Linked DNA regions of Astyanax mexicanus. The protein of the gene in region 2 binds, or shares a complex with, the protein of the main gene of each other region. Links are inferred from orthologs where the notes say so. Each region holds a gene or a part of one and is shown on either strand. Other genes may lie near its edges.

Evidence for each region.
Region 1: the proteins of prkaa2 (region 2) and prkab1b are in contact, whole or in part, in a crystal structure (PDB 8BIK), measured with the Homo sapiens proteins. The link is inferred for Astyanax mexicanus from reciprocal best matches to the Homo sapiens genes PRKAA2 and PRKAB1. Residues at the interface, in NP_006243.2 of Homo sapiens: Gly9, Val11, Lys12, Ile13, Thr21, Lys29, Lys31, Asn48, Arg49, Arg53, Asp56, Val58, Ile61, Lys62, Ile65, Gln66, Lys69, Val82, Ile83, Ser84, Thr85, Pro86, Thr87, Asp88, Phe89, Phe90, Met134, Met164, Ser165, Asp166; in NP_006244.2 of Homo sapiens: Pro79, Thr80, Val81, Arg83, Thr106, Ser108, Asn111, Val113, Ile115, Gln154, Val155, Asp159, Phe160, Glu161, Val162, Phe163, Ala165, Leu166, Asp169, Ser170, Lys172, Cys173, Pro186, Tyr187, His188, Gln189, Glu190, Pro191, Tyr192, Ala202.

Annotation. Positions count from the first base shown.
Region 1 is NC_064419.1:33,187,201-33,203,702, reverse strand, and holds prkab1b (5'-AMP-activated protein kinase subunit beta-1b), read right to left. Parts: upstream 7,535-16,502; 5' UTR 7,406-7,534; intron 5,596-7,405; 5' UTR 5,585-5,595; coding exon 5,450-5,584; intron 4,647-5,449; coding exon 4,495-4,646; intron 3,449-4,494; coding exon 3,355-3,448; intron 2,960-3,354; coding exon 2,845-2,959; intron 2,760-2,844; coding exon 2,626-2,759; intron 2,044-2,625; coding exon 1,975-2,043; intron 835-1,974; coding exon 757-834; 3' UTR 165-756; downstream 1-164. Other genes in the region: transmembrane protein 233, read right to left, coding at 11,247-11,258, 12,898-13,032. UniProt on the Homo sapiens protein: Non-catalytic subunit of AMP-activated protein kinase (AMPK), an energy sensor protein kinase that plays a key role in regulating cellular energy metabolism.
Region 2 is NC_064408.1:61,606,965-61,623,315, forward strand, and holds the start of prkaa2 (5'-AMP-activated protein kinase catalytic subunit alpha-2), read left to right. Parts: upstream 1-8,046; 5' UTR 8,047-8,209; coding exon 8,210-8,303; intron 8,304-11,383; coding exon 11,384-11,525; intron 11,526-14,756; coding exon 14,757-14,850; intron 14,851-15,536; coding exon 15,537-15,681; intron 15,682-16,339; coding exon 16,340-16,351. Other genes in the region: plpp3 (phospholipid phosphatase 3), read right to left, coding at 3,617-3,755. UniProt on the Homo sapiens protein: Catalytic subunit of AMP-activated protein kinase (AMPK), an energy sensor protein kinase that plays a key role in regulating cellular energy metabolism.

The DNA.
Region 1 (16,502 bases), on a different chromosome or scaffold from region 2:
CAAAAACAGATAGCAGATTGTTTGTGTGTTATTTGTAATGTAATAAGTACATTCATAGTTTTAAAAACGGTCAGCACACTGTTATGTATAACTCCATTCCAACAGGTGTTACAGAAAACAGCAAGCGCCCATTTTGAAAAAAAGAAAAGAAATCAACCCTCAGGTTTCTAATTTTATATATATTTTTTATTTATAAATCATTCCATGTGTATTCTCTGATAAGAAGTGATAAAATGCATGAAAAAGGTAACACAGATAACAATATCAACAGCACACACTGGTCATGACTGGAAAAATCTCACAGTCTAAAAATAGTTGAGTTTAAAAAGCATTACCAGGTCAGACGGTTCTCTTTACAGGCTTACTTCATTATTAAAATCAAAAAATCTAAATACAGTCATAGTTTATTGGACCCCTGCATATATAGATGCTGTTGTGAGCACCCACACAGATACAATCACTGTTGTGACAGTATCTTAAAATGGTATATTTTGTTAGAAAAACAAAAAATGCTTTTTAAAGTAGGGACAAGTAATTTTGGTCCTTTTTTCTATTGGTCTGTTCTTCATGAAATGTGAAAGGCAGCTGGTGGTTTCAGATATGGAGTGGGTAAGGTTTGGACATTACAGTGATGATATATCAGCACTTGAGTTTCTGATGCTTTTTAAGGCTCATTATCTTAATAATACTCTTTTCTGTTTAAATAGTGTTGATAAAGCGAGCTGAGATCCAGGTGAGCTTTTCCCAGCTGATTGCTCATATGGGTTTATACAGCAGTGTAGTCACGTACTTCTTCTTGTAGCGGTGAGTGGCGCTGAGGACCATAACACCATCCTGTGAGGAAAATGAGAAACAGTTTAATTCTATACATTAAAATACAGCTCTTGAAAAATTAAGAGACCACTTCAGTTTCTGAATCAGTTTCTCTGATTTTGCTATTTATAGGTTTATGTTTGAGTAAAGTAAACATTGTTGTTTTATTCTATAAACTCCAGACAACATTTTACCCAAATTCCAAATAAAAATGTTATTTAGAGCATTTATTTGCAGAAAATGAGAAATGGCTGAAATAACAAAAAAGATGCAGAACTTTCAGAACTCAAATAATGCAAAAAAGCAAGTTCAAACTGTAAAGTTTTAAGAGTTTAGAAGTCATTATTTGAAACATCTGAGGGAGGCAAACAAACTTGCTATAATACTTTATAATACACATAGTGTTTTTTGTTTTCTAAAGTTTGTTGGTTGATAAATTAGATTTAATAAATACACCAGAACAACAGCAGGTCTATGAGCATATTGATTTAATGAATGAAATGTATATAAAATGTAAAAATGTAAACGACAGCAAAACCAAACTTTAGTTATAACTTAAAATGAAAATTGTTGGCTGAAACAGAGACTGAACAAAACTAAACATTTGGCCAAAAACTGAACACGGAACATGGTTTGCAGGTTTTCATTCATTTTAAATAAAAAGCAAATACAAAACTAGAATAAAAAATATATTTTAAACAATAATCATTAACTTTCCACCAGCCATACCTAAAAATGCAATATTGTTATATATATATATTATCTTTTCAATTATTTGGTTGAACACCAAAATATTTTTTGAGCCATTTTTGGATGAATAGTTTTGCTTGCTGAATAATTTTGAATATTCTGTGCTTCCTAGTAAAATGATGAATGATAATATGAATAATAAATTAAGATAAAGATGGAATCAGCTGTGTTACAGTGCAGTTCCTGCAGTTAATGTAAAGCCTGTTATGGTTTGAAGGTTCTTTTTAATTGTTCTAAAATGTTTTTGATGATCCATTCATTGTTTCAGAAGTCCTAATCAAATATATACGCAAAACAGATAAAAATGATTATTGATAATTATGGACAATATTTTTATTTGGGAGAAATGTTATCCGTAGTTTAAAGAATAAAACAACAATATATGTATGTATGGATTATGATGAGCTGTACCTTGATAGAGAGAGCGTACAGGTGGTTCAGCATTACATGGTTGGGTTCGGGAAGCAGAGCTGGATCACACTGTTCATAACAACAAACACAAAACACAGAGGTTTAAAATTCTACTATATATATATATATTATATAACACACAGCTAACATCATATCATTTTAGGAAAGATCTGTTAAAGTAACAGACTATACTTTTTTTTACTCCAAAAGCCCAACAGGCATACCCTCACATCCCCATACTCATATCACCTAAACCAATCACCTTCCATCTCTCTACACCCATACCATCCATCACCAACTGTACTCTTCCTTATCTTTACAATACCTATACCATCTATACCTAACCCCATACCCATAGCATCTATAGCAAACCCTATAACATCCACACCCATTTCATATATAACCAACTATACCCTTCCTTATCTTTACAATAACAATACCATCTATACCTAACCCCATACCCATTCCATCTATAGCAAAGCCTATAACGCCTCAATCCACAACCGCCTCATCGATATCAGCACCTAGTCCATCCATACTCATCACTTTACATATACCATCTACATCAATAGTTATACCATGCATAATCAATCATTACGCATCCCATCTGTTTCTGCAGCAAAGTATTAAGGAACCCAAAGTGTTACTCACAGAGACACCGGTGTCTTTATTGAGCAGCACCTGCAGCAGGTGAGGCGGGAGAATAGGAGGAGAACGCAGTCGATCTTCAGATTTAGTGCTGTAGGGCTCCTGATGGTACGGTCCAGGAGGAGAACCGGACATGTCTGAAATCGAGAACAGGTAAGACATCACCTCAGGAGAATCTCTCTAATCTCGGACTGCATTAACACAAAGAGTTTGAGCTCTTACCTGACATGTCAGCACATTTCTCTGAATCTGTCTTCAGGGCATCGAAAACCTCAAAGTCTGTCTTCTTCACCTGGATGATGTTATTTACTGTACCAGATTTGCTGGTCACTACAGGCTGAGAAAAATGAAACCAATTAGTGATGAAGTGAAATAAATATTTACAGCCAAAAACATTGAAAACTTTTTTTTTTTTTAATCAGAGCACGAACATAACAAAAAATTAAATCCCAGTTAACTGTTGTTTTAATGCAACATATGAAATTGCAAAAGCTTTGCGGTTATATTTATTTTAAAACATTACATCTTTTTACAGTGTTTTCATAAATTATATTAACAGTTGGAAGAAAACTTTATTTTTAAATACAGAAAATATTTTAAAGCCTAACATTTAGATGCATCCTTATTATTGTTATTATTATTATTTTCGTTAAAAACATATTACAACCCAAGAGATAAGTAAAGTGATGCTATTAGTACTCATGGACACATGTTATGGACACATGGTGGTACCTGCTTTGGATCCAGTGTCCAGTTTCCATCCACATAGAACTTGTACTGGTGCTCACCCTCAGGCAGATCAACTACCGCCACAAAGTTACTGTGACTAATTGTGAAACAGAAAGGAATTAAAGCGTTACTGTTATGTTACACCATCACAGCACCACCATCTCAAAAATATCATAATTACAATTCACTAAATTTACCAGGTAATATGTAGTTTTCCTAGTTGACTGTAAACAAAATGCTTCTTCTAACTGTAACCCCACAGTGACCTCTAGTGGTTCATATGTAAAATGCACAATCTCTGTGTGATCAGAATCAATGATTAAAAGCAAAGAAACTTATTAACTCTTTGAACTCTAAGGAAAGATATTTTCTTCCATATTCCAATTCCTCTCTCATAACTGCAGAGATTTACATAGCAGTTTATATAGTTGTAGATATTTATAGTAAATAAATTAACTGAATAACTTGTTTGATACTGCTAGTTTAATATGGGCTAGTGAATAATGCATTGTGGATACTACATCATTCTTAGCACATACTGAAAAATTCATAGTAGATTCTGAATGATTAATACTGAACAATGAATATTTCAAAGTAGATTCTGAATAAATCATATTGGACAATGAATACTTCATACTAAATACCTCTGTATTCATTGCTGTAATCTTCATTTGGGACACAGACTAATTCACAGTAGACTCTAAATAAATCTGAAAATATACTGTAAAACGTTTATCAGATTTCAAGTGATACACAGTGGATATTGATTGATAATTTATTGTGGTTATAATGATTTCCAGATGTTAAAAAAATAATACCAGATGCTGTACAATGCTTGGTATATGCTGAATAATTCATAGTAGAGACTAAAAATATATATGTAACGGAATACATTGAATTATTTATAGTAGATACTTTGATAAGTCAGAAATTATTTATCCCTATTTTGCATAATAATAAAGCTTATCAAAGTTCTCTATTTGATCTGTATTTAGAATTTAGCTAAATTTAAAATTGTTACTGTCCACTTTTTCCATTGTCTGTCCTTCTTTAAAGACTGGAATACTAGAATTACTGGAATACTTGTCAAGACATTTAGGAAAATACATGATTGTTGATAAAGTGACTAGTTATCAGGCTGACCTCTTGGACAGGGGGATTTTATTGGCCCAGTTGTTGAAGGATCCCGACACATAGACGTCCTTAGCTGGGCCTGTCCACCTAAACACAGTGGGTCTCTCTTCAGGTGGGGCTTTAGAGTCTGACTCCAGATCACGCTGCCAGGCCAGAAACTCCTGAAAAGAATGAAAAAGTGAATATCTGCTAGCATTGTTCCACTTAGTGTCCACTTCATGAACCCAACCGATCACAGTGGTCTGCTTTGCGGGTACAGACTACAGCCTACCTACTGTTGCAGCATTTATCAGCCCACTCTACCCCCTTAAAAAACAGAAAAAGACCCTCATAGAACCATCATTGGCCATGGTGGCCAGTCTCAGGCCAATTTATCAGAAACTCCTCTCTTGTTGCTCCACCCTGCTGGTGTTGAGCTACAAATTTACATATCATACAACAGATGGGCATGACCTTTATTATCAATATTGTCTATTGTGTTAATTAAGCTAGGAGAGCATATTCACTTTAGTGAGCCAGTATGTAAATTTGTCTAAAAACAATATTTTTATTTATAATATAATATAATAAAGGTATTTAAACATGTTACATTTCTGAAATGAAATATCTGAATATTCTTAGTAAATTAAAGTTCATTGCTTTTTAAATGTAATGTGTAACTGCATTATTTTGGAACATAATCAGTGACTATAATATGACAAAAAATATTTTTTATGGCAATTGCTTCTGAAACAATATATTATCCTAATGAATTGAGTAATTGTGAAAGGTCTAGTGATACATTCCTTCTAGCCCTTCATTAGGGATCAGCTCTTGTCCAGGTATGTTTAGGTGGTGGACCATTGTTAACATATCAGTGAACCGGAGTTTGTGTAAGGTATAGCAATATGACTGTGTCTGACATTTCAGTGTTACTGCTACCATTGTAATCAACATGTTATACACCTATATAGCAAAAACTGACCTTGGCATCATCTGCTTGAAAGATATCTCCATCTTCAGTGCTGTCCATCAGTATTTTGGGTCGAGCTCCATCTTTAGCTCCACGGCTCTCCCGCCGCTGGGCATTAGCACTCCTCTCACTGCTGGCGTTACCCATGACCACAAGACCTGCATGCAATTGGTGAACCTGTAAAAATGGCCACTGTCCTTTGCACAGCTTTATCAGACATCTCCTACTGTTTATCTATCTATCTGAGACCTGCATTGTCTCTTCTTACAAAGTAATACCTCCACCCACAGCAAATATGCAACAGAAGTACCACTGGATACTACACGGTAAGTACATGCAGTTGTACACTAAATTTTGGACAGTTTCTAAGTGTAAACAAGTTATTAAATGCTCTAATCTTACCTCAATTAGCGTTGTGTACTGGCAAGAACTTGGCAATGCGATACGCATCACAGTACAGGGTTATATTTCAACGCATCATGCAATATACTGCAAAACTGCAAGCAAGGCGATATATTGTGTCATAGTATAAAATACAATTATTATAAAATTATTATTATGCTTGTTTTATTCCCATTACATATGGCATGTTAAGTGTCTTGACCATATAATATGTTTTTATCAGTAATTAATAAGGTGATGTGGGGGATGTGACGCATTTAAACTTAGAAAATACAGTACAGAGTAGTCAAATGTTTGGACACACTACTTCTCATTCAATGTGTTTTCTTGCTTTTCGTGATGTGAAACAAAACAGAATATGTTTTTATTCTTTAGATGCTTGAGGGAGTTCCTGGAGCTCCTGCTCATCCCATATCACCCATCTTAGTTGGGTTTAGGTCAGGGGATAGTGGATGCCAAATGTAGGAGGCCTTTTTTTGTTTATTACATAATTCCATATGCGTCCCTGACCTGTTTTTATGTCTTTAATATTAATCTACAATGCAAAAAACAAAACAAAAAAAAAAACAAAAAACATTGAATTAGAAAATGTGTGTCCAAATATTATACATGGTACTGTATATTGTGATCTTTTAAGAGAGTTATGTATGCATGTTATTTCAGTGGTTAAGGCTGACCAGCATAACCAGCAGGGCCCCTTCTCAGTATATTGACACTGACTTGTGGTGAATGTAATACAGGTAGGACACAACAGTCTCAGACCACTTTATCAGAAACTCCTCTCGTGTATTGCCTATTGGTGGTGACTAAGCTGGTAGACCAGCATGACCACAAAAATGTTATTTATTTATAAAGTCAGGAAAAATGGGATTGGGAAAATACAAAAACAAGTTAAACGAGGAACATATGAAATCCTGAGCAAGGAAATTTATGTACCGTAAAGATATAAAAAATAAAGTCAATAAGGTCACTTTGACCTATATTATAGCCCACAGGGTTTAGAAAAAACCTGTAGAAACTCAGTGCAGTGACTGAGAGTGAGCTGACTCACTGATCTGAACTTTGACCAGACTGTAAGTTACTCCGTGCTGTGATTCACCTCAAACCCACACAGAACAGAGCCAGGACCTTCTCTAACCTTCAGCACAGAGAGAGAGAGAGAGAGAGAGAGAGAGAGAGAGAGAGAGAGAGAGAGAGAAACAGAGAGAGAGAAACAGAGAGAGAGAAACAGAGAGAAAACAGAAAAGGAGAAAAAGAACAGAAAGAGAGGAAATAACAGTAACAGTAAGAGAGAGAACAGAAAAAAGGAAGAACAAAAAAAGAGAGAGGACAGAAAGAAAGAGAGAGTAAGTCAGAGAGAGAGAGAGAGAGAGAGAGAGAGAGGGAGATTTAACCCCTCCTGCTCGAAAAAAACGGAAGTTACGGAGGAGAACAGAGGCTATTAAGAAGCTAAATTTCAGTGTGTCTGAGTGGAACTGACTCTAAAACACTTCTACAGATACACACACGTTGTGTGTGAGAGTGTGTGTGTGAGTGTGTGTGTGTTGTGGGAGGTTTAACTCTTACCCAGTCTCTCTCTCTTTCCGCTCCTGCCTGTTTCTTTCACTTCGCCATGTTTCTCCTCCCACACGAGCACGCTCCTCTTCCGGTGTTTGTGTGCGCGCGCGCGCGTGTCCCTTGTCCTGCTGAACCACGTGTTTACAGTGCTCCCTTCCTACGGTGCTTTAACTGGGTTGTTTAAGTAGTTCTTCAAATTCAAACAAAACCCATGCATAGATCAGCCATAACATTAAAACCACCAGTGTAGTATTGTGATTATTTTGTAGGCCCCCCTCAGGCAGCGAATCAGTAGCACCTAACCTGTTCTTTTTCGATCACTGTTGACTATCAGGTCATGTTAAATCATAAATAAGAAAAACATGACTAAGCTTGTTGACCAAAATGATCATCATCCTGACCATGCTGGTTGACCAACCTTACCAAACATGTTAGCCAGTATGGCCCAACCTGTTAATCAGCATGCCACCCTGCTAAAAAAAAAAAACAGCTCAAGACCAGCTGGTCATCAAGTAAAAACATAGGCTATCCTAAGCTAGTTAACGAGCTAGCCAATAATCAAAGGGTATTTCTTTCTGGATGACCAGCTGGTCTTGATCTGGATTTTTTAGTAGGGCAGTCTGGCCACTGTCCATCAGTGTGGCTAGTGTGACTATGCTTTTTGACCACTATGACCATTAGGGCATGTTGATTTATCCATAAGACAGGCTTTACCAAACTGGTCAACCATGCATGACTAAGCTTATTGACCAAAATTACCATTATCACAGCCATTCTGGTTGACCAGTGTGACCAGCCTCGACAATATTGGTCCTCTTATATCACCAACTTTACCAAACATGCTAAACAACATAACCAAGTTTTCTTAAATGGTTAATCAGCCGTGCCAACCTAGTGAACTAATCATAACCAAGCTAGTTGACCAGTATGAACATCCAGGTTATGTTGACCACCAGTGTGACCAGCTTTAGCAAACTACTGAACTAGTATGACCAAACTAATTAATCTGCATTACCCACCTGCTGGTCAACCAATATGACAGAGTGTGTTGACTAATCTGAACCAGCTGGTTGGCCAGCATGACCAGCCTGGCCATGTTATTCCACCAGTATGTACTAAACTACTGTTGTAAACAATAACTTGTTGACAAACTTATTGACCAGATTAGCTAGCTTCACCAAACTGGTCAACCAGCTTTGTCAAACTAGTCAACCAACAACCATCCAGTGTGGCCATGTTGTCCTATGTTCACCAGTATGACCAACTTTACAGAACTAGTCAACCAATATGACCAGGCCTGTTGACCACTCTGACCAGCTTTAGCAATCTAGTCAACAAATATGACCAGTTTAACCATTAAATATCAGCTTAGACCATTTGAACCCAGCTACCAGTAGATGGAAGTCTTGAGGTCAAATTTCATCAGGAGTTTTTGTTGTTTTTATCTTAGCTGTATTATTATCTGACTGTAGTTGACCTTATAGTTATGCTTACTGGTCTTTGCCAGTCAGGTGTGTGAGGTGTGTTAGGTGTGTGTGAGGTGTGTTTGTGTGTGCAGGCTCTGTTTCTGAAGGCATTCTCACGGCTATCTGCTTTCACTGCCTCTCTGCAGGAAACGCTACACTGTGGGAAACAGACCTTGACCACTCAACAGCAATACAGGGCCTAATTCATGCCTATTTGACAAGAAAGAGACAGTGTTTAGTGTGTGTTGTGATGAGTTTAACCCTAATAATGTGCTAAACACACAGCTGAACAGTGAGGTGAGTGCACACAGCTCAGATGAACCACTATGTAATCTGTTGGTAGCGTCTGGAGGATGTGAAGCACATGAATGTAGGTTTTGTGTTGAGTTGCTGAAATCCTTAGCACTGCTCTCTCTGCCAGGTCTGGAGAATACCACAGCTATATTTAGTCCTCACTGGTTATAATATTACATATCAGAATACAAGATCCAACGCAGTCTGCAGATTACACAGGGTGAGGAGGAGGAGGAGAAGACAGGGAGGGAGAGAGAGACTATAGGTGTATTAGTCAGTGGAAAAAGAGCTTCAACACTGTCCGTGTTTTTTATGACTGTACCGAGCAGAATCACGGTTATAAACATTAACCTACATAGTTTACTTTTAATACAATTTTATTCACATCTGTTACATGTTAAAAAAAATCACAGACACACACATAGGCATCATTTCTGTACATACATATGATCTGCTATCAGTGTTTTTATCAAAAAAAGAGTTGAATTACTGTATCCCTCATGGTTAAACAGGAGATTTCACAAATAAAATCCAAAAATGGTTGTTGGAGCTCATTTTTAACATACGTTAACTTGTGTAGAAGCTGCACATTTTGAATATACATTAAGAAAATGTGATAAGTAATTGCAGGTGTTACATGAACACAAGTGCTTTAAGACTCTGTAACGTTTCTTCAAACCATGTGAACTTAAATTCTAAGTTATTTTGTGTATTAAGTAAACTTTTCACATATTTTATTTACAACATTGTTTGCTGTTAAACCTTGTTTATTTTTTTGTTATTAGACCTAGATTTATTTTACCTTAGGGTTTATTATTCAGAAAATACAATGAATTATTCAGTATATACCATGCATTATTCTTTATCTAACATCAGTTGTTCAGTATCCTCTATGTATTATTTGGTATCCTATATATCTATGAAATATTTTGTATCTACTATTAATTTTCAAGGATCTAGTTTTATTATTCATTAGCTACTATGAATTGTTCCGTGTCTACTGTAAATTCGTTCATATCCACTATTTATTATTCCAATCTGTAATTTGTGTATTTTAAAAGGTAAGGGAAGTAAGTGCTTACATACACGCCTTTAGAGCTTAAGGGAGTAAAAAGTTTGCTTAATGCCTAAGAAAAAAGTTTTGGACACCTAGCTTTTACAGTCTAAATTCTACATTTTCCTTGCAATACATTTTGTATGACCATTTTCCAACATTTCTTCATCTCTTAGGATAGTTATATGTAAATAAGCTCTGATATATTTTCTAATTAGCTGCCCCCTATTGTACTTCAGTCAGCATTGTTTTTCTGACAATGCTGAATCATACAAAACTGTGTATTATATACTGGCTGTTTTAGCAGTTTAGTTTCTGTAAATGGATTGTATGAAGTGTGGAGTGAATACATAACACTTTAACAATTAAACATTTGAAACATAAACAATTTTTATACACTACATCAAACTTGGCATTTCAGCTTTCCATGCTATGGGCCCTTTAAAATAAACAATCCTGTTTTTTTAGTTGGATTTTCAATAACTTAACTAAGAGAGACAAAATATTTTAAATATTTCAAAAAGAAATCTGTCAAATCATTACTTTGGCAGGACATGCTTATCATACCAAGATCAATTAACCCATAGAATTAGCAAACATCTGCTTTATGACCACTAAACATTTTTTTTTTCACCTTTTTGAAGGTTAAAGCAACATATCAGCATTATAAATCTAAGCAAGGTGCACCAAAACATTTCACAGGTAGTGTCAACTGTACATTAACTGTAATTGAAATATGTAGTGCACTAGACTAGTAAACACAGGCTAAGTTAGATAATTAAGACACATAAAACAGATTATTTCGCTTCTCCAGTTGCTCCTCTGTCGCATAATTTACATTCATAAGAGCATAAGACTTCGTAAAATTAAAAAAGAAAGAATGCCAATTTAGCCATGACTGCTGTAGTGTGCTAGCCCGCGGTGTGTCCTTAGCATTAGCATGATGGAGGGCAGCGCTGTCCATCTTCCTGCTGTCAGTCCACCAAAGCACATGGACATGGAGATAAATAATCCTTTTAAAGCTTCTCGTTAGCCATCAGTTTGGATTCTGACACAAAAACAGTAAGATTACAGATGTGTTAGCAATCATATGTGTCTAAAGATTAGCTTAGTCTAAACATTCAGTGTTGCAACAGTTCATAGCATTTAAACAAAAGTATAAATAAACACACAAAAAAATTATGTTGCTGCTACTGTAAAAGTCGATCAGCCGGGATTTGCTCTTTATTTCCATAAATGTCCATTTGTAGTGATCTATTTTTTTGATGGGCGTCCCTTTTTTTTTCATTTCTGAAAGGTGGCGACCCTACATTTTTGCCTGTCTGTTAAGGTCTTTTTTCTATAAATTTCCCCAACGAAGATAATTAGCACTTGTTTTTTTTCTTCCCGTAAGTCCATATCAGATGACACTTTGCGCTGTTAGCTATGTTTCACTGTGATCCTGTGAACCCCTATTCAGGGTGTTTTTATTTACTTATGTTGTCACCTGTCCAGATTTCACTTGGATTTTCCTTTTTAAATAATGATTCATCTATAAATGTCTCTGTTGTCTGTAGGTAAGTTTATTTAATGTACTGTGTCTATTAAACAGACTAAATCAATTTTCTCTGTATCCTCTTGCATATTTTTCACGGTGACAATCAAAGCTGTTTTCATTGGTACTGCAGGGTCATGTGACTTGACTACCACACCAGCACCTGCCAGCTACTACAGGCAGAACTAGATAGGTAGTGAATCTGTAGCTGTCATGGTGAAATGGAGGTAAGATTCTGTCTACTTGGTCTGTCAAGCCAGTCAAAAAGAAAAAGAAATGTTCAACTCATTTTAACAATGACTGAATGCAAAATAAAAATTATGCTGCATGGCTAAAGTAAACCCTATCAAAATATTCAATACTATGTACAACCCTGCTTCACCAAGTCCCCTCTGTTTCTTATGGCAGACATCCCAAGTCTCATGGAAGTTCGCATATGAATAATGGCTCCCTGTTTCCCGTAAGTCAGATAAAATCTCCCAGAATCTAGAATGAGTGGCTCAAAAGTGAACACAAACGTGCAGTTTGTAATAGTATTTTTAACATTGCCCACGTAATGATTGCAAAGGGCATATTGAGGTGAGTTAATGTGACACATATATATATATATATATATATATATATATATATATATATATATTAAAAAAATGGTTCATCAGTTGTTATAGTATGACAGTCTCCAGGTTTTTTGTCAGACATAGATGGCAACCCTATGTAGGACCCTCTGTTTTTTTATAATCACACAGCATTAGCACTCTTGCTGTTAGCTGTGTTAATGTAGCGGTGTGTTTTTTTACACCGCTAAAACTGTGCAAAACTGTAAAAGAACAAAGCTAATTTGTTGGTTGCCTCAGGCTTAAGTTAGTGTTAGTTTATAGCACAATAAAGGCTGACTTTTACAGACTAGTTTAACAAAGCAACCCACAAAAACACCATATGCTAGTGTGGTTAATGTCTCCATTATAAGAGGAAACCTGATGTTTCCTTTTACATCTGAAAAGCTAGAAGAGATTAATCATTTCCTTTTGGTTACTGACACAGGTCTAGTTAGAGCTGGGTGTAGGTAGAATAATGCCTAACCACAGCAATACATAGAAAACCCCTATGCATATATAACATTTAAATTTTACAGGAGTGTGTGTGGTGTGCATACCGTGGTGAAGTGTACGATGCTGAAGACCGTGATGATGAGTAGGCCAATGATTAAAGATGCAATGCCCATGTGCAGGGCCTTCCTCCCCAGTCGTTGAGAACCGTCGTAATCCTCGTTATCGTAACTGCTCTGAGACTAACAGGACAGGAGGACACAAGACAAGAATATACGATTAAACGCTGCCCTTGGGACAGTTAGACTTGATTAGGATCAGAGAGTAGAGTAGACAGCCAATTCTGAAATCCTGAATCATCGGAAAACATGTGTTTCCAAAAAATTTATATATTCTGGTTTGTGGTATTTATTCCTATATGTAAATTTAGTGCCCACTACAAGTGATAGGGGAAATCATATGAATGTGGTTTAGAAATTATGTAGAAATAAATCATATACTAGATCAATGTAATTTGTCATATGTGTTTTATAGTATGATGTCGTGCATGAGCAGATGTTCCCAGGCGTAGGTGGTGACTGGTGAAGGGACTTTACAAGATACAGAAGTCCCCTGGAGCCTCCTCGTCCCGCTAGCAGCTCCAGGCCCCTCTTAGCGAGGATCACATGAGTTGCCGCGCCTCATAAAACTGGACAGACATAGTGATGATGCCGGCCTGCTTTTAGCTCTGCAGGACGCAGCAGGCTGGGTCTGGTGATGTGGGGCAGTAAACACACCAGGCCAACACCCAAACCTCTCTGATTCAGGCTAATGGAATCGGGGCCAGTTTCCTAGAGCCAGATTAGGCCTGTCTAATCTTGGACTAAAAGGCAGTGCCAAAGATGAATCATTGCGGGAAATGTCTTTTACGCTAAGCTTAGGCTTAATCCATGTTGAGGAAAGCAGTTGTTTTGAGTATTAGTTCAAATCAAAGAGGAACTTAGCCTGGTTTGGGACTGACCTGTGGTGAACCTGTATGGGAATTTCTTTTACTTTAGGCTTTAGGCCCAAACATTGTGGGAAATGCCTTTTACACTAAGCTTAGGCTTAATTCATGTTCAGAAAACAAGCACAGCCAAATCAAAGCATTGCATTTTATGTTGCATTTTTCTATAAAACATTTTTTTAATGTGCTTTAAATTGTGTAAAAATTTAATAATGGACCAAGAGAAATGTTACAACATTTTTTTTTCAATTTAAATATAATCTAAACTTGATTATATATCAAGTTTATGCTAATGTATCAAATTGAACATAAAAACATAAAATGTAACAACATTTGTACATGTTTAAAATTGTCATACCTGACATACTGTTAAAATACAATGTTAATTTATATTAGTAGTATATTAGTAATAAAGTATATTAGTAAAGTTAATTATTACATAAATGTATTAACTGTCATTAATTTATTTATAATCGATGAGTAAGAGGCGGGTGGGACTTTTTTTTTTAGCTGCTTCAGCGTAAATGCCCACGAGTGTCATATCTGAATTTTTACCCCACCCTCGGGTTCTTGTCTCCAGGATGATTCGGATGTTTCTGTGTGTGCGTGCTTGTGTGTGTGTGGGCAGACAGTGTGAGAGGGACTCTCAGTGGGCTGGTGTGATTTGAGCAGAGCAGCTGCCGCGCACTCTTAGTAAAGCACAGTCAACCTGAAACCGTTGCAAACCTGTGCACTAACTCACACACACCAGCACACACCCAAACATACTCAGACCACACGCAGACCTGGAGCACACCCTGCAGTAACGGTGGTTTTGGCACTGGAAATATTCCGTAAATATTTATTATAATTTCACTGATTGAATGGCAAAGACATTATTTTGAATTATGAGTCTGTGTATTAATGTATACATTTAATACACTGCCTGGCCCAAAAAACACACACACACCTTTAGCTTTGATTATGGTGCACATTCGCTGTGGCATTGTTTCAATAAACTTCTGTAATATGACAAGATTTATTTTAATCCAGTGTTGCATTAATTTTTCACCAAAATATTGCAGCATTAATGATGGTAAAGTCTGACTGCTGCACATAGCCTTCTCCATCCAGCACATCCCAAAGATTCTCAATGAGGTTAGAGTCCGGACTCTGTGGTGAACAATCCATGTGTGAAAATGATGATCTCATGCTCCCTGAATCACTTTTTCACAATTCCAGCAGCATGAATCCTGACATTGTTGGCTTGGAATATGTTTTAAGCCATCAGGGAAGAAAAAAACATTGATGGAATAACTGGTCTATGTTCAGTATATTCAGGTAGTCAGCTGACCTCAGCTTACATTGTTTACATTGGTTTAAATGTTTACATTGTTTTCTAGTTTATTAGTATCATGCTAATATATATTTATACATGTTTATGGATAGTGATGTTTCATACAGGTTCAGAAACATCACAAGCAAGTATATTAGAGATTAATAAACACATCCACAGTGCGTAATGATTTTAACATGCAGTTAGCACGATGCTAATTCTCAGATGCTGAAAATGTCTACTTTGAGCTACATTAGCCTCATAGCTAATGCAAACAGTCGTCTTGGTTAATTGACTGCATTTTACTATAGCACAGAACTGCTTACTTAGGGTAGATTTTAGCAGACTTTTTTTTTTACTGATAGCCACAATAGGAGACTATGCTAACATGTATGCTAACACATTTTTAATCAAGGACACTTTTTTGCTGACTCATTGCTTAGATTTTATTCTTAACACGTATTATTATGTAACTGCAATGACATTATACTGCTTCCTAAATGAAGCTTAATCTCTCAACTTAAATAAAGTGACACTGAAATAAATTCACACTTTAGTACAGAGTTGTTTCAGTTTAGTCTGCCTAACCAAAGGCTCATAGCAGGTGATAACAGATAATGTGCGTGAGGTTTAGAAAGGTGTTTACAGGCAAAGCGCAAAACTTGGGTTGAGGTTAAAGTGTGAAAAGTCAAACCACTGCAAGAAAACTTTCTCAAGCTTCAGATGAGCAGTAAAACATCATACACCTGGCACTGGAGAACTGACACTCAGGCAAGTTTATTGTGACTTTTTAATGTTAGCCCTGTTGCTAATGTGTTTCTGTTGCAGCAAACCAAAACTAGTTATCCACAGTTAGCTTTATCTTTTTAATCCAGACTGATTAAGATTCAGATGAAGAACTCGACTAGCAGGTGGTACCTAATTTTTTTTTAGATAAAATCTGAATTCAGGACTCACTGAGCATGTGTAAAATCACACATATGTTCAGCATGGTGAGGTTTGTTTAGCAAAACCGCTATCTCCACTGACCTTCTTGGTGTTTAGCTGCAGACCTGTGAGAAAATGTGAATATGGTGTGTATAGGTGAGTGAGTGTGCACTCTTACACACTTCTTGCGGGCTGCAGATACTTGAGGCTTGTCTATTTATACCACTTATGAGTGGGTCTAAATTATGAGCATGAGGCTTTGGTCAGATTTCACAATCTTGAGGGCTGGGGAGGGAGCTTGCATGAGAACATTTCTCAGATAAATGTGTGAATAAAGAAGCCACCACCACAGCTTTCAGAGAAATAGAAGACTAACGCGAAATGCATTGAACTGATCTGATCTGAGGGCAGATTTAAAGTATGTGTTAGTTGTTTATTTTCAAGAATACCAATTTTTATTAAATATACGCCAATGGAAATTAATC
Region 2 (16,351 bases):
CCAAAAAAGAGGGATTTGGGGTAGGAAGGGGTGTAAAACACTGTCTAGTGGCTTACGCAGTGGTATGGGCAGGAATGTATGTCATCACTGACACCCCCCTCCCTTCATTGCCCCCCTGGGAAAGGGGTGGGTAGAGTGAACGGCCAGGGAAGGCCCTCCACTGCTTTACTGCACTACTGTATGCTAATAGATCAGGCTGTTCTTCACTCCCTCTGGAGGATCTCAACGGGAGGCAAGGCCCTTCAGACAGCTTCAGACTGTCTGACGATTCACATTCGCACTGCTGATAGAAGACAGCATCACTCTGCCATCAGCTGCAGTGATAAGAGTGAATGTGTTTTCCTGTGTGATGCTGTGAGGAAAGTAAAGAGGACCTGGGGCATTTAAGTACCAGTGGAGACTGGTACTTAAATTATCTAGAAGTCTCTTTACTTCAAATGCAGTCAATCAGCTTGGACAATCACGATGTCTGAGTATTTCTCTACACCACAAAACGTCATGTAAATGTAGTATTTGTTTTATTTGTTTCATGTGTCATAAACCACATAGGCAGGCCTTTTTGAGATTACATAACATCTTGAACTGAGTATAATCAGTTCAATAAAGCTTGAAGCTTGAAGAACATTAACTGAGGACCTGTAGGCTTCCCAACTACTTTTGGGATGAGGATAATCTTGTAAAACTTAATATTTTTTCTTCACAAACCCTTATTTTCTCTTTAAAACATTAAAATGAGATATCAAATCAATCTAAACGACAAAATAAAAGCTCCCCTGGCCAACTTAAACCACACTAAAAATAAGATAAAAAGCAGGACACCCATACAACAGATGGAACCCTCTCTGAGTATCCAGCCCTTGCATGAACTATTCCCATAGCATCCATGTGAACAAAGCCCATTCAATCAGACATTCTTCAAGTGGCCCACAACCTTACAGGCCCCCTCCCCAAATCCCCATCTAAAAGAGTCTCCTCTCTTTCACAGCACCCCCACTACATAAAGCAGGGCAACCGCCCTTTCTTTAACATCACAAAGAACATGTCTTGTTTGTGCCCCGCTTTTAATGCGCGCAGTCGTCGCCAGTCCCATCTCTTAAATTGGGAAGGAAGTCGGTTTAAAGCAGGAGATTCGCTCCATATGCAGTTTTACGCAATTCCATGTGTATTTGGACCACATGTGAGAGCAGGACTTGTTTTGGTGTGTTTGAAACCCCCTTGTAAAGCAACACTGTAAAACTGGATGTCTACATTGTCACCCTTTTTTTCCATATTGCAAAATAAACTGACTGGTTGAAAGGTTTGAGACTGGGAAAGTTTTGCAACCTTCTGCGAATATTTTATTAAACTTTACATTAACCCAAAAAAACACAGCCCAAACTGTTCAAATATATCATGCACTACTGCAGAAATTCTTCTGTCTACCACCTGCTGTCCAGCCTTTCTGCTTGAGTTGAAGTTTGATTCCTATGGCAGTTGCCTGTTGAAAGCTTAGCAGCACTTTTATGGGTGAGTCTCCTTAGTTCTCCCAAAGAACTTCACCCTGCTTCTCTACAACCACACGTTTTAGCAATTCTTCTCCACATTCCCTCAAACAAAAGGACAGAGGGGCACTCAACCTGCCTCTCGGCTCAGAGAGAAAGTTGATATGATGCTGTGGTATGCTCTGAAAGGAGATGAGCCATCTGGTGAAAGGGGGATTTGAGGAGAGGGGCTCTTGGAAGAATGCAAAACGTTGGGCTGATGCTCTGCTAATCCCTCAGGCACTGAGCACTCACTGGCTATAGGAAAGCTCACTGTGATGGTTTCCAGACACTCAAAACTCAAAAAGATTTTAACAAAGTCGAGCCATCAACAGCTAACAACTTCACGCACATTTCACCTGTACTATACATTCCTGAGCATCCCTGAGTCTACCAACACAAGTGACATTTTACATTCAGGCAAGGCTTAGAAGATTTTTGGACTTTACTCTAAAGCTTAAGGTCCAACCACTCTAATCCATTCACTTCTATGTAGCACATGCAAGTTGTGTAAGATGCAATATTCACAAAATTGATATCACAATATATAATAGGTAGAATATTTAATTGTGGATAATTTGTTATAGTCATTTAATTAAAACGACCTATATAAAAGACACAGAAAAACTGACAAAGACTCACATAATAGATTTATGTAGGCTTGCAATGAAACTTAGATAAAAAATAATTAATGGTTTATAAATCATTCTACTATCAATCCATCGTGACCTATACTGACTGAATTTTTGTCCAGTCCTAGGTCATACCAAAGATGTCAACACAACAAGAGAAGCAGCCACTAAATGTGATCCAATTCTGATTGAGGTTCACTCATTTAGATCCTTTAAAAACAGTTTGAGAACACTAACACGTTTCCTCCACTAATAACATATTAGCTGTAGTTTCTTTACTTTATTTTGTTTTATTAAAGTTTGGCATTGACCAGCAAAGCACCCTGTCTAATACAGCCCCTCACACTCTGGGAAGCTGCTCATGTAAAAGTTGTAAACAAAGACTGAACAGTGTGACAGTTCAACGGTCGCGGCGCATGTAAATGAGAGATGGTATTATGAAGGCTGGATATATGCGCACATGCCCTTTCACACCCACTTTAATAAGTCAATGGGACAATACTGTTTAAATAGTGGTGCCATCTGTGCCCATCCCTATTCCTGTGAGATAAGAGGGTTTAACGGTACTTTACTTCTGTTTAAAAAGATAAGGATGTAAAACAGGCTGAATTAAACAAGGGTAATAAATGGGAGAGCTTGGAGGATTTGCATTTTGGGGGAAATTAAGCTTGAGTGAGAGATTAAAATATCCTTATTGCTTTGTTTGCAGTCGGTTCACGGAGGACACTGTCAGAAAAAGGGTACTGTACTGATAAAAACTGATTAAAACTGTTTAAATGTGCTGTCAAAAGTACAGAAAGATATTTTAGGTCCATATACGTCCCTTAAAAATAGGGAAAAACAAGTGCAACTCAATAACTTAACCTAGCTATGTTTCTTAACCCTTTATGGCATGAGGCAACAAACCATCATTATTTATTTGTTATTACACCATTCTATACCATAGCATAAATTATTGTTTATGTATGTATTTACTTATTTATTTAATTATTTTATTTTAAATATAATTTTACAAGGCATATCTACGTCCAATACAATGAGACATAAATAAATAAAAAATGTTTATACGTTTTTACATTCTTCTTGTTGGAAGCTTACGAAAACATGTTTCTTTTTTTCTTTTTCATTTCAATAAATAAAAGGGTCTGAAAAAAGTTTTTTTCTCTCTCAAAATATTATTAATGTCATAGAGGGTTAGTTAACTGTCTAGTTAACATTACATGCACTGTATACATGAGTAACTAGCAAACAGTTTAGCAGTTTTGTACCATTTTTCTGAGAGTGTAAGGCTAACACCATGTCACAAAACAGTAGAATTAGAGTAAGACTTGTTGATGAATGGCTAAAGCTGTTTTTGTTCTCTTTTTTTTATATTTTAAATGTTTTGTTGATAGTAAATCTATCTAGGTTAGCTAGATTAACAGTGATGAAAAAAGGGGAAATGAGGCAGGTTTAAAGACTCACCTAGGAGCAGGCAGAAGATGTCTAGAGCTATTAAAATTTTCCTCTTGCTCTTGTTCATGCCAGTGCTGCTATTTAACGTCGCAGTTCCACCGTTTCTTGTTTCGGGTGCCATCGCCTTCTCATACATGTATTTTGGCATGTGAGAGCTCCGTCCTCCTGCTGTACAGAAACCTCAGTCCACACGAGCACAAACTCAGCTTGCTCACTCAGTCAGTCACTCAGATAAAAAGATAGATAAATGTAGAAGGTAAGATGGGAGGCGAGGTCCGGCTCGTTTGAGGAGAAAAAGTCCTTAAAAGTTGATATTCAGAGGAGGAGTGAAGTCCTGCTGAATGTTGAACCGTTGAACCGGTGTGTAGAGTGAATAATAACCCGCCTCACGGTCACCGTCTCTCGGTCTGTGGGATGAAGACAGCAGCCCCCCGGTCAGTGTGTGTTTTCAGTCAGTAAGTCAGTGAGTGGAGGAGAACTTGAGTCCACTTCTCTAGTGTTGGAGGGCTTTCTGAGGGGAGAAGAGCGAGAGCGGCGTTTTAAAAAGCGCAGGAGCTTCAACTCCAGTTTTAAGACTCCCTTCCCTCGTCTCCTCCTCCTCCTCCTCCTCCTCCTTCTCCCTCTCTCTCTCTCCGTGTGCAGCAGAGAGAGCTTCAGCAGGCTCAGCCCCCTTCCTCCAGACCCACCTGCATGCTTATTATTATGCTCAGCCCTTACGCTCCGAGCCTGCAGCACGCGCTCCTCCTGCCACCCGTATTCAGGCAGGCCCCGCCCTCTCGCTCTGAGACTGAGTGGAGTGGAAGCGTGTCCTTCTGACTGTCCGCGCTGCGATTGGCTGGTAGCTCCTGCAATGCTGCAATCAGGAGCAGAGTCTCGAATCGCCTAGCCAATCATTGCGCAGAAGGGCGGGGCTACACGGAATACAGGCGGTCATAAAGCACTGAGAAGGTTAGAGACAGAAAGAAAGAAAGACGCCAAACGAAGAGCTGAACTCTTCTATTCTGAACAATATATTCTTTATACCCGAGTTTAACGACGTCTAACAAAGCTCCACACACACTTTTCTTCATATTCTGATGATGAAATTTTAATACATGTTTTAATTCCTTGATCTTATAAACTGTTTTGCTATAAATTGTTGTGAACCCTTTCCATTGTGTGTATGTTTTATTACGGAGCCCCTAAAGTGACATCATGTAAAAAAAAAAAAAAAATAATAATAATGCGTGGCCATGCCTTATTAAGGCATGAAAACGAGATCCTAAGGCGTGGGAACCAGATAATTAAGGCGAGGGAACGAGTTAATTAAATCATAGCCAATAAGGCGTGGCCAAAAGGTCCTTTTGTTTCATAGTTAACAAAGCGAGCAGCTCTCAAGAGTTGACTGAGCCCGTCAGCTTTTAGTGTGAGAATTAAGAGTCCCTCGCTACCTTTAAGAAACTCCTGAAGACTGAGCTCTTCAAAGAGCACTTACTACTTCTAACCTCATTTTCTGCTCCCTCTTTTTCCCTCCTCTATCCCACTATTTCCCTTTGGCCTCCTTTGGGCCCTGTCTTAAATGGGTTTTTTTTTTGTTTGTTTTTTTTGCCTTGAACTTCTATGTCTTCTATTACTAAATGTACATCACTATTGTAAGTCGCTTTGGACAAAAGCGTCTGCCAAATGTAATGTAATGTAAAAAATCTCTTCATACTTTGTAAGTGGTAGTTATGCAGCATGTATTTTTATTAGAGGTGTAAGGAAATATCAATATCAAAATATAGCAATAGTTTGTTTTGCAAATCGGTATTTATAAACAATAAATGACCAAAAAACAACACATTTCTGAATGTTCGTACTGTTTTACTGTTGCAGTATTATTGTGAACCCTTTCTCTGCATTGTGTGTATGTTTTATAAATCACACAATCATATTTTAAAATATATTCAAACTTTGTTGTAAGTGATAGTTATGCAGCATGTATTTTTGTATTGTACAGCATGTATTTTTAATGTATTGTAAGAAAATATCAATATGAACGTATAGCAATATATTGTTTGCAAATTCATATTCAAAAACTCAGTATTGACATTTATTTATTAGTTCAAATGTAAAGATTGAAGTCAGACAGTGGTTCATTTTGCCTACTTTTTAAGCCTCAACCACTAGATAGCAGTGTTGTACTTCATTGCATTGTGTCATTCTTTTTCTTATCTATACTAACGCACTAGTATTTTTAATTGTGCTGCATAATAAGAATGATATAGTAGTTTTTAAAATATTTTAAAATACATTGTGAATAAAATAATTAAACCCAACATGCTGTTGCATTCACCGATATAGAAATGAGGGAGGAGAAGAGAAAGGCAAGAGCAGATAGTACTGTTGTGGTTTCTCTATACAGAACTAGTCAGTGGTATTTTGCCTGAAATGTTCGCCTCTGGTTTTCTCAGTAGTAATCCTACTCCTCCATCTAGTGGTCATAATGGTTCACAACTGGAATATTACTGACACTGCTTTTTATGAAATTATATCAAATTAACTCACTCATTTTTTGGTTACATTACTAAATATAATACACATCAGTACATTTTATCTTCTATACACGCTTATTCTGCATGGTACAACAGATATTATACAAACTCTTTTACACAATCACACAGTTTTCGTAGAAGTTAAAAGTCTTCCAGCTGTAGTTGGAAATCATTTCCACTCTTCTCCACAGATGTCCACTAATATACACAACACAAGGCTGTTTGTTGTTGATCATTTAAAATGTTTTGTATGTTCAGGAAGTCCACCAAAAAGGTTTGAAGTATATTTTGTATCTTGTAGAAGCGTCTTGTTTAGTTTCAGCCTTTTAATGGATAGTCTGATGTTTTTTGTTCCAAGTCCAGGTTCGGTTCACTGTGACCCGCTATAACATTAATACAACAAGCCTGATACTGATTATGTACTCTTTGCGCCGCCACAACATTTCTGATCATGAGAGGCATGGGCTCAACAAGACCTCAAAAGGTCTCCTAAAAAAATCTCAGCATGGAAAAATGAAGAAGCTGATAAAGCTAAGCTAGCACAGGCTTTCCTAAAATACATACATTTTTTTAAATGCAGCATCAAGGAAGGTGTGAAATGTTTAGATATATCACAAATGTTAACACAACCTTAACTAAAAATTCATCATTAGAGCAAATAAGCTATTCACAGGATGTTTAGGCTACTAACAGTGCTGTCTCTACCACAATATGAGTACAGTGATTATAAACCCAGTTTTATTCTGCTGTATACTATAACAACCCTCAGAAGAAGCAATTAGTGTTCACAAATACTGATAAAAATCATTGGTTGTAGGCAGTAGCTAAAATTAGCCACATTGTCACACACTCAGATGGCATTTGGCTCTACAAACACTTGTTTAAAGCAGACAAACATATAGCTCTGTCAGTATGGTTCCAGACCACAGGTAATCATTACATTACATTAGTAATAGATGTTCAAGGTTAAAAAACAGGGCCTAAAGGAGGCCCCAGAAAAATAGTGGGAATCACTATATCAATCACATGGTGTGTGAAGGAGAGCTGGTCATCAACCAGAACACTCAGGTTCTTAGCAACCTTTTTAGGGAGAGAGAGAGTGAGTCAATGGTTATGGTAAAGTTGTGTTGAATAGATGGTTTTGCTGGTATAACCAGATGTTCAGTCTTGGTCCTGATCAGTTTATCATGGAAGAGAGAGGGGGTTCTCCAGCTGTAACACTACATTAGAGGCAGACGAAGATATTTTCAGAATGTGAAAATTCAGAGTCTGACACTGAGTTTAATGTTCAAATAATGGGTATTTATGACAAAAAAAAATATTACTTATTACTGTTACTGGAAATCACTCCTGTTACTGATACTTATTTATGTAACAGGGATTAGTTTTTAGCATACAATTAGCAAAAACATGAAAAATAGCTAAATGGTGGCTATGCTAATATCATGAAGACACTGAGCACATTATAATGATTTTCCTCAAAGTTCTGCCCTGGGGACAGAAATGGCATCCATTCGGTCGAATGGCCCTTATATTTCTTGGCCAATTGGGATGAATTAAACTTCTACTCAGTATTTTACAAAAAAATGGTTTGATTATTTGAATTAAAAGCCCTTAAATGCAATGGGTTCACCAGCAGGGAGGAGGGAGGACTCCCTGTGTAACAAAAAAACGAAGACCCTGTATAGTTTAAAGTAAAAAATGTAAGGTGAACGTGGAGAATTATACATATTTTGGCTTCACCTGCATAAGAGAGCACGCTCATGTTGTAAATAACAGTTTTACAGTTTTTATCTGAAGGGACTATAGTGAGAAGGTGTCTGTGTAGCGTGCTTGTTATGTTGTTGACACCATGGCTCCTCCCCTATTTTCCACGCTCTCTCTCTCTCTCTCTCTCTCTCTCTCTCTCTCTCGGGTCTGACCTATGATCTGTGGGCTTTGGTCGGGGGTCTTAAATTTGAGGCACATTTCTCCGGTCATGCTGATCTGAGGTCGGGTGAACCTGAAGCCGCTCGCGCGCCGGGCGGAGCCCCGCCCCCCTCCTCTCGCCGGCCGAAGCGAGCAGCGAGCTGCTGCCCCGCAGAGTAAAATGGCCGAGAAGCAGAAGCACGAAGGCCGGGTGAAGATAGGACACTACATCCTGGGGGACACGCTCGGAGTGGGCACCTTCGGCAAAGTGAAGAGTTAAGTGTCTGGGCTGTGCTCTGGCTGCTCTGTGAGGCGGCGGGGCTTCGGGTTGTGGAATAGCGGCTGTGTGTGTTTTTACCGTAACCGTTAATAACGTTGAACTTGCCGGCGGAGAGTTTACGTAGTTTACGCAGCGAGTTTTCACGCAGTTCGCTACGGATTGAACGGCTCTGGAGCAGAGAAGTGGCGTAGCGCTGTTGGGGAATAAGCCTTTTTACGAGTGTTAATGCTGCGTTACTCTGGGGCTAAGTTTAGGGGGTTGCAAAAAATGCACTGCACTAAATAACAAAGCCTGCGGGCGCTGTTACTGTACATGCATGGGCTCGTTTATCACAGGATTATCTGCCTAATAAATGCATACCTTGTAATTTGCAGCAGTTGTGAAAATTAGGCAAATTGTGTGTTTATGTCGTAGCATGTTTTATAGCTTTATGTCTGCAATACCAGTGTAGACAAAATAGTAGTAATAGCTAGTTGCAGTAATATTAGTATTAAAATATTACTATTATTAATAATAAACGCTTCTTTCTTGATCTGTCAGTAATATTTTGTCTACGTTGTTTTTTATTTTTATTTTTTCCCCATAAACCTAACTTACATTACAAACAATACTGTTATACTGTCCTAATCTTATAAATAAAGGCATGTTGACAAAACAATAGGTCCAATATGTCCACTGTAGATTTGGTGCTATCTGTGTGTGCTGGACAATGGTGTGTTGATTTCATGCTAAAGGGTTAGTTAATTAGCACGTGAGCTAACAGCTCTTAATGCTGATGCTATTCTCATAGGGTGTGAGCAGCCCCTCAGTGCTGGTAATAAGACAGTAATAAAGGAGATGAGATCAGAGTAAGATAAGAGCAGGAGGACTGGCATGGTGACCAAGCAGCCCTTTATTACCCCCAGCTGGACATCCCATTAAATGACCTTGAGAAGCAGTGAAGGAATTTGGGGTCAGTTTGAGCCACAGTGTGAGTGGCTCCATGAGCTAAATCAGCTCCACACATCCACTCCCCTGCTCTTTAACAATGCATCACAACAACGACACCACACAGTACTGTGCCCCACAGGATCCTGTACTGTATCCATTGTTTGTTAATTAAATGTACTCTTAACTGCCCTTATACCTGAAGCTGTTGTTAAACTCTGTAATTTCATTGTGCTAGTATCTCACCTTGTTTCATTAAAAAGCTCCTTCTGTAGAAACAGACCCGCAAAATAAGACGATAGCAACTCTGCTCTGAGGCAGAAATATGGTGTAATGAAAAAGTGACATGCATTCAAGTGCAGGAAAACCAAAGATTTAAACTGTAAAGTTATCCCCTCAAAGTAGGTCTGTACAAGATATCATTTTAGCATAATCACAATGTTCACATGCACAACAGTCCCATCGCAGGATGCATAATGTCACATTAGGCAAATTTAATTAAGTGCTAACACCCCCTAACTTTCCCAATATACATCTTACAGAGGCAGATTATGTCTGCCTAAAGAAATTATTTTATTCCAATCTTTGTCACAAAGTATATTATTAACATTGTGATACATTGGATCATTGACTTCTTGTGACTTCTGATGAAAATTCCTGTATTTTTTAAGATCACAATATATATCATAGAACAAAAAAATATTGACAGTTTCAGCCAAACTTGTGTATCCCTACCTCGAAGGGTAAAAATATGACATCAAAAGCCTTTAAGCTTTTTTTTTGTGCAACCCATTTAAAAGGGGTTAAATTGTTGCCTTGCAGGAAAACATAATTAAATTACATTAAACATTAATTTAAATAACTACAAAAAGTTAAACTAGATGTTTTCTTATCAATATGTTATTGGTTCTTTTTTGCATCACAGCCAATATTTATTACAACAAAGCTTTAAAATGATCTGTTTTTAATTTAATCAATTCATGTAAGATAAGTATCTCAAAGTAATGATATTACTAATATTATTACTATTATTACTAACTAATATTACTAATATTACACTTTTTGATACTCTTTGAAGCTCTTTTTGTTTGTTATATCTGATACAGCATTTTCTGCTGATATTGGCCTGATACAAATACACAATTCTAATGCTGTGTACCTATTAAACACTTTAAGCTTGTATTCCTGCATCTTGTTGCTGTTGTTTTGTTAATATTTTCTATATATACTGATGATTTTTAGGCATACCGTAAAACCAGAAATTGGACTGCCTGTCAGACAGTGTCAGAGTAACAGAGGCAGTGAGGTAGACTCAGTCAATTCTGCATGCCTGGGGTGTCACTGGAGTTAAATGTCCAACCAGGGACACATTTGTTCACAAGTTGAGGGGCGTGTGTTGCGAAGGACGGCTTACAGGAAAGCACACCACTTTGCCTGAACATACTTTCACTGCATAAAGGCAGGGGTAGTAAATCCTTTTAGCATTTATGTGGTGAACTATAACTATTACAGTTTTTTCCCTGAGCATAGTATTTTTCTTTTACAAAGCTTCTGTCATTATATGAGATATAAATACTGTGTGAGGTCATTATTACTGTTTTGCTGTTAGTTTATACTACATACCAATACCTGTAATTACATAATTACTTACATACACAATTTTATGTTGTGTTTCACACCTGCACATCTGACTTTTTCCATCTTGTTTTGATATTAAATGACAAAATTACTGCACATTTAACAGTAGTTTATCAAATTATATTGTACTGATCTTTTCTCTGCTTAGAAGCACAATATAATTGGGTACTGAATGTGTGGAACTTTTAACTAAATGTCCCACTGAATTCAAAGAGTGTTAAGAGTGTGACAAATAGCATATTTATATTCATTATTTCACAAATAAATATCAATATGCTTTTTGTTATCACTAGTGAATATTGCAGCCTCTAATGGTTAACAGTATAGAGAATCTGTTACTGTAACTGGTGTTATAAAACAAACTGCTGCTGGGGTGTCATGGCACTTGGTTTGTTTTTTTTTGGCTTCACACTGATCTTTCATCAGCTGTGTTATAGGAAACGGTTGGTGGTCTTGTTGCAGCTGAGGTTTCATTGGTTTGGGTATGTTTGTTTTCATTTTGCTTAACAGTTGGAGAGCACCAGCTTACAGGACACAAAGTTGCTGTTAAGATTCTGAACAGGCAGAAGATCCGCAGTCTCGATGTGGTCGGCAAAATCAAACGAGAGATCCAGAACCTCAAGCTGTTCCGACATCCACACATCATCAAGCTGTGAGTGGAAAAAAGTCTGCATGCTCTCAAGCACTTAATATATAGTGAAAGCCTGTAGAGTGCAGAAAGTCCCTCTATGGGCATCTCTAGCCATTTTCCATAATAGAACATTATTAAATAGACACATATTTCATTTGCAACCACAGCCATATTCACTTATTCCACTGTATTATTGCTCACTGAGAAACTTCAGCTCCCTTGTTGGAAGCTCTTTAGGTAAGCGAGCTAGTCAATAGTTTGGAACTTTGAACACAGTAAAGTAAAAGTAAACATTTCATAAAATATATTTACTTAAACAGAAATGAGAAAAAACATACTAACTGGACCTTTCTATGGCAAAATACATTAACTCTGCATTTGTGTTTGCCCCAAGTTTAAATCCTTAAGATAAATTAGTTTATACATAAAGAAGGATTCTCTAATAATTTAAAATATTTTGACATGTTGACAATAAAATAATTATATTTTATAGATACACAATATATAAAATATTGTACACCACATCAGTCAATTTAAAATGAACAAAACTTTCAAGATATGATTTTGTTATCATATCTTGTAAACATTCACCTTTAAATCAAGAGCTTTGCCAGAAAGATGGTTTTAACTATTTATTAATCACTGCTATTTTTAACAGTACCTCAGACTTAAAAGTAACTGGAAATTGTATTTGTTAGATGCTCAAGTGGACGTAACAAGTGGTCAAAATCTTTTGTGAGATTCAGATACATTAGAGGCCAAATCAACTATTTTGTACATTCTTAAAAAGCTTAGCAACTCCACAAGACCACAGAACACTGCTAAACAAGACAATAACAGAATTCTTTCTTTGGTGAGGAGAAAACCCTTCACAACATCAAGTCAGGTGGTGTTCTCGTGGATATGTAGGCATATCTTTGTCAAAGTCAAGCATTTTTCTTCATGAATCATGAATGAACCACTGGTAACAAACAGGAAAAGCCAGATCAGCTGTAGATGAACCCAAGATTAGGAAATGGAGTAGAAAAGAGAGGGTTCATAATCCAAAGCATATGACATGGGTTGTTATGGTTCGATTTTATAATCCTTTTAATTATTATTATTATTATGTTAATAAAACACTGTGTACCTGGATTATTTTAGCTAAATGTAATGTACACATACTGTAGAGTTCAGAAGGTTCTATGATTACAGTATGTCATGGCTACTTTTTTAGAATAGGTAGAAGGCTGCTGTTGCATGCTTTCATTTTAAATAATACAAAGCTAAATATTGTTTAACTAATATAAAAAATATTATGACCTTATTTATATAGTTTGAAAATGTCTCTGCTGGTGGGGCAGAAAGTGAAAATAACACAGCGCAGGCCAGTCCAGGCTACAGGCCAAAGAGATAAAATAGCTACGTAATCTCTTTAGACTACCTTTCATGTCTGCTGCCTGCTCTTTCTCTCTCTCGCTCTCTCTCTGTAGTCAGAGCAAATGAGAGGACTGGGCTTTAGGATGCCCTTTATCCCTCTGCTTTAACCCAGCAGCTTCCACACTTCCTCCCCTATTTGTCTCAGCAGCTCTTCAGTCACTCTCTCGTTTTTCTCCGCTCTCTCAAACATGCTGAGCTGGGAAGATCAGAGCGAGGCTTTGCTACACATCCCCCTCCCTCTGTGAAGAGCTGCCTCCTACCATCAGAACAGCACAAAGCTGGTGATGGATAAGATGTGGCATAACCGGAGTTTGCTGAGGAGAGGGGTTTTTACCCCACTGGGAAAATAGGGGTGCACCCGCCAAGCTTCGCAGTGATTGGGCATGTTCTCAGCTGTAGCAGGAACCCTCCTGACGCATGCCCCGTCTCAGAGGGAAATGACATCAAACGCGCCACAGCTGGAGGAAAGATCATGCCACACAGTCAGCCCTGCGCCTAAATAAACGTGGGGGCGCTACATGGACTAAAGGACAGGCCATGTTGTAAAAAAAAGGCTCCTGTCAGATCATTGACAGTGATGTTCATTATATACAAGATTTGACCTTTTACTCTACATGACCTCTCAGTGCGTTTATGGCAAGCAGCCACAAATGCCATTTACTCTAGCTGTGCCAAAAGATGACAGCTGCTCTCGAGGCAATCTGAAATTAACCATTAGATGTCTAGAGTTAGTACTGTTATTTTACTGTATGCTACATTTTTCTATTATAATGGGGTTCAAATTTAATTGCATAATAGCTATTTTAACGCTGCTTCCATTGTACTGTTATTGTACAGAGACACTACTGTATTACTCTATTAATAAAATAATAGGTTATGCACTCTCTCTTTCAAAGGTGTCAAAAGTATTCACATTCATTACTCAAATAGAAGTAAAGATACTAGGGTTTAAAATACTTCTGTAGAAGTTAAAGTATCAACTCATGCTTAAAAGTGTAAAAGTACTGGTTTCAAAACTACTTAAAGTATAAAAGTAAAAGTAATTTAAGTAAAAAAAAACATTAAGGACAAAAGCTTAGACTGCCCCACAGGGTCCTATAGTACACTGTTTTTTAAATGTAAGAAGTAGAAAGAGTAGATATTTGTGAAAATGTAAGGAGTAGAAATAAAAAGTCGTCTGAAAAATAATTATTCTTGTAAACTCATGATCTCTTGTAAAGATCATCAACTTTCTACTTAAGTAAAGTAATTAAGTATTTTTGCTTCCTTACTTGACACTTTTGCTCTCTTTCTCATGCCATGTGAACCGTTTCTTGTGAAAAAAGTGCTCAGATGTTTTTATTTAGCCCTGCTTCAGATCACTGAATTAGAGTTCTCCTGAGCTGAGGTGGGCCATGATGTCACTGGTTGATGTAGACTTCTGATCCTTTCCTGATCAACTCATATTTTTAAGGATTTTCTTTTACTAGCTACTGAACTATTTCTCACTTTTTTCATTTGTGAATGAAGAAAATACAGCAATATTTTTACAGCAATATACAATACATACTTAAATTTACAATTCAAGACTGGTAGCTATATTACATCTATGCTGTAAATTTATAGCCACCCTTAGAAATATAATAAACATTTATTGCTTTGAGACACATCACACAATACTACAATATTCAGTCAGAGAGAGTTTAATACTATGATTCACTCACTTTTCATCCAGAATTCTCTACCAACAATTACTGTAATCACTGTCATAAATTTCTCCTATTTTGCTGGAGGATTAATTGTATCTCATATGCATCACTATTCTAAAGCAGTGTTTCTGCTGTAAATGTACAGGTACCAGGTGATCAGCACTCCCACAGACTTCTTCATGGTGATGGAATACGTGTCTGGAGGAGAGCTCTTTGATTATATCTGTAAGCATGGAAGGGTAAGAATGACTTTTCTGTTTTATTCACTAAAGTTTAAAGGCTGAGAGTACATGTTGTCCTAATGCCCACTTGTTCTGTATGTGTTCTGTATCTAGTTTAAAACATACAGCACACATAATTGCTAGTGTAAGAAGTACGAAGACATCTTAAGTACTGAGAATGAATAGTAATTTTGTATGCACCACTTCATATGATAATTCAGAATGGTTTATGGTAATGGCTAGGTACTTGCTTTGTACACCTAATGCTGGAGTCCAGATTATCTTTTGACCTCAGTTACCCATGGTAGCTCCAGGGTCATGCCTGTTTAGTGAACTATGGATGAGTAAGTGAGCTACTTACAGACCTGGGTCAGTGGGTTCAGGGTTAGTCCTCAGACTGTGTGTATTTTTCTACTCACACAGATGTCCGGTATGTAGGTGGATGTTTTGTAGTATGGGTAATATGGGCTGTATAGAGGGCAATGAGGGCAATGTGTACACGGTGAAGCAAATTGTACAGAGACTGGATGATGATAATTATTCAGTGTGCCTATTGCCTTCACTTCAGTTGTGATGCATGTTGCAGTGTCGCCGAGCGACTTATAAATATAGACAAATATTAATGAATAGCTAGTAAATATAATGATAAAAATTGAAATGATAATGTTCCCTATGCTGATGTTTTACCCTTTTTTTTGGTGCAGGTGGAGGACAGTGAGGCAAGACGATTGTTCCAGCAGATCATCTCAGCAGTGGACTACTGTCACAGACACATGGTGGTGCACAGAGACCTGAAGCCAGAGAACGTGCTACTGGATGGAAGCATGAATGCAAAGATTGCTGACTTTGGTACAAACACACACATTTTCATACAGATAACATCTGTTCCACATCTGTTCCACAAAAAAGTGATCTTTGAGCTGAAAGTGAAGCGCAGTTGGGTCATGCAACAAGATGATGATCCAAAGCATATTAGCCAAATATACATAAAGATGTTTACTACTAAACAAAGTGTATGGTTGTAGTTATTTCTGCTATATTTTTATGTATTGTGTATTGAGCTATTGAAAATAAATTGTTTTTCTTTCGTCTTTTTTAATTTTTTATCCCTTTTACGTACTGTTTTTAGGTGTGATATGATGTCCTTCTATATTAAAAATATGGATTTTTTTTTATATAAAAATATTAAATGAAAGATAACTGTTAATTAATAATTGTTGAATTCTTTTAAACTTTTATTTTTACAAAGGTGTTTTTATTTCTGCTGTTAGACAAAACATTTATTTATTTAGTAGTCTATTTTTATAGTGTCTGTTGCCCAGTGTCTAATTTAAAGTTTTATGCCTATTTGTAGGTTACGTAAGAATTGTATTTAACTTGCTATAGATTAAAAAGTAAGCTGCTTTTTGTTGTATTAAGTTCACACCCCAATTACTGTCTTTTGTTTAAATTACTGTTAAAACCCTGGTCTGTTTGATGTTAATTATGTCTGTCTCTCTTTTTTTAGGCTTGTCAAACA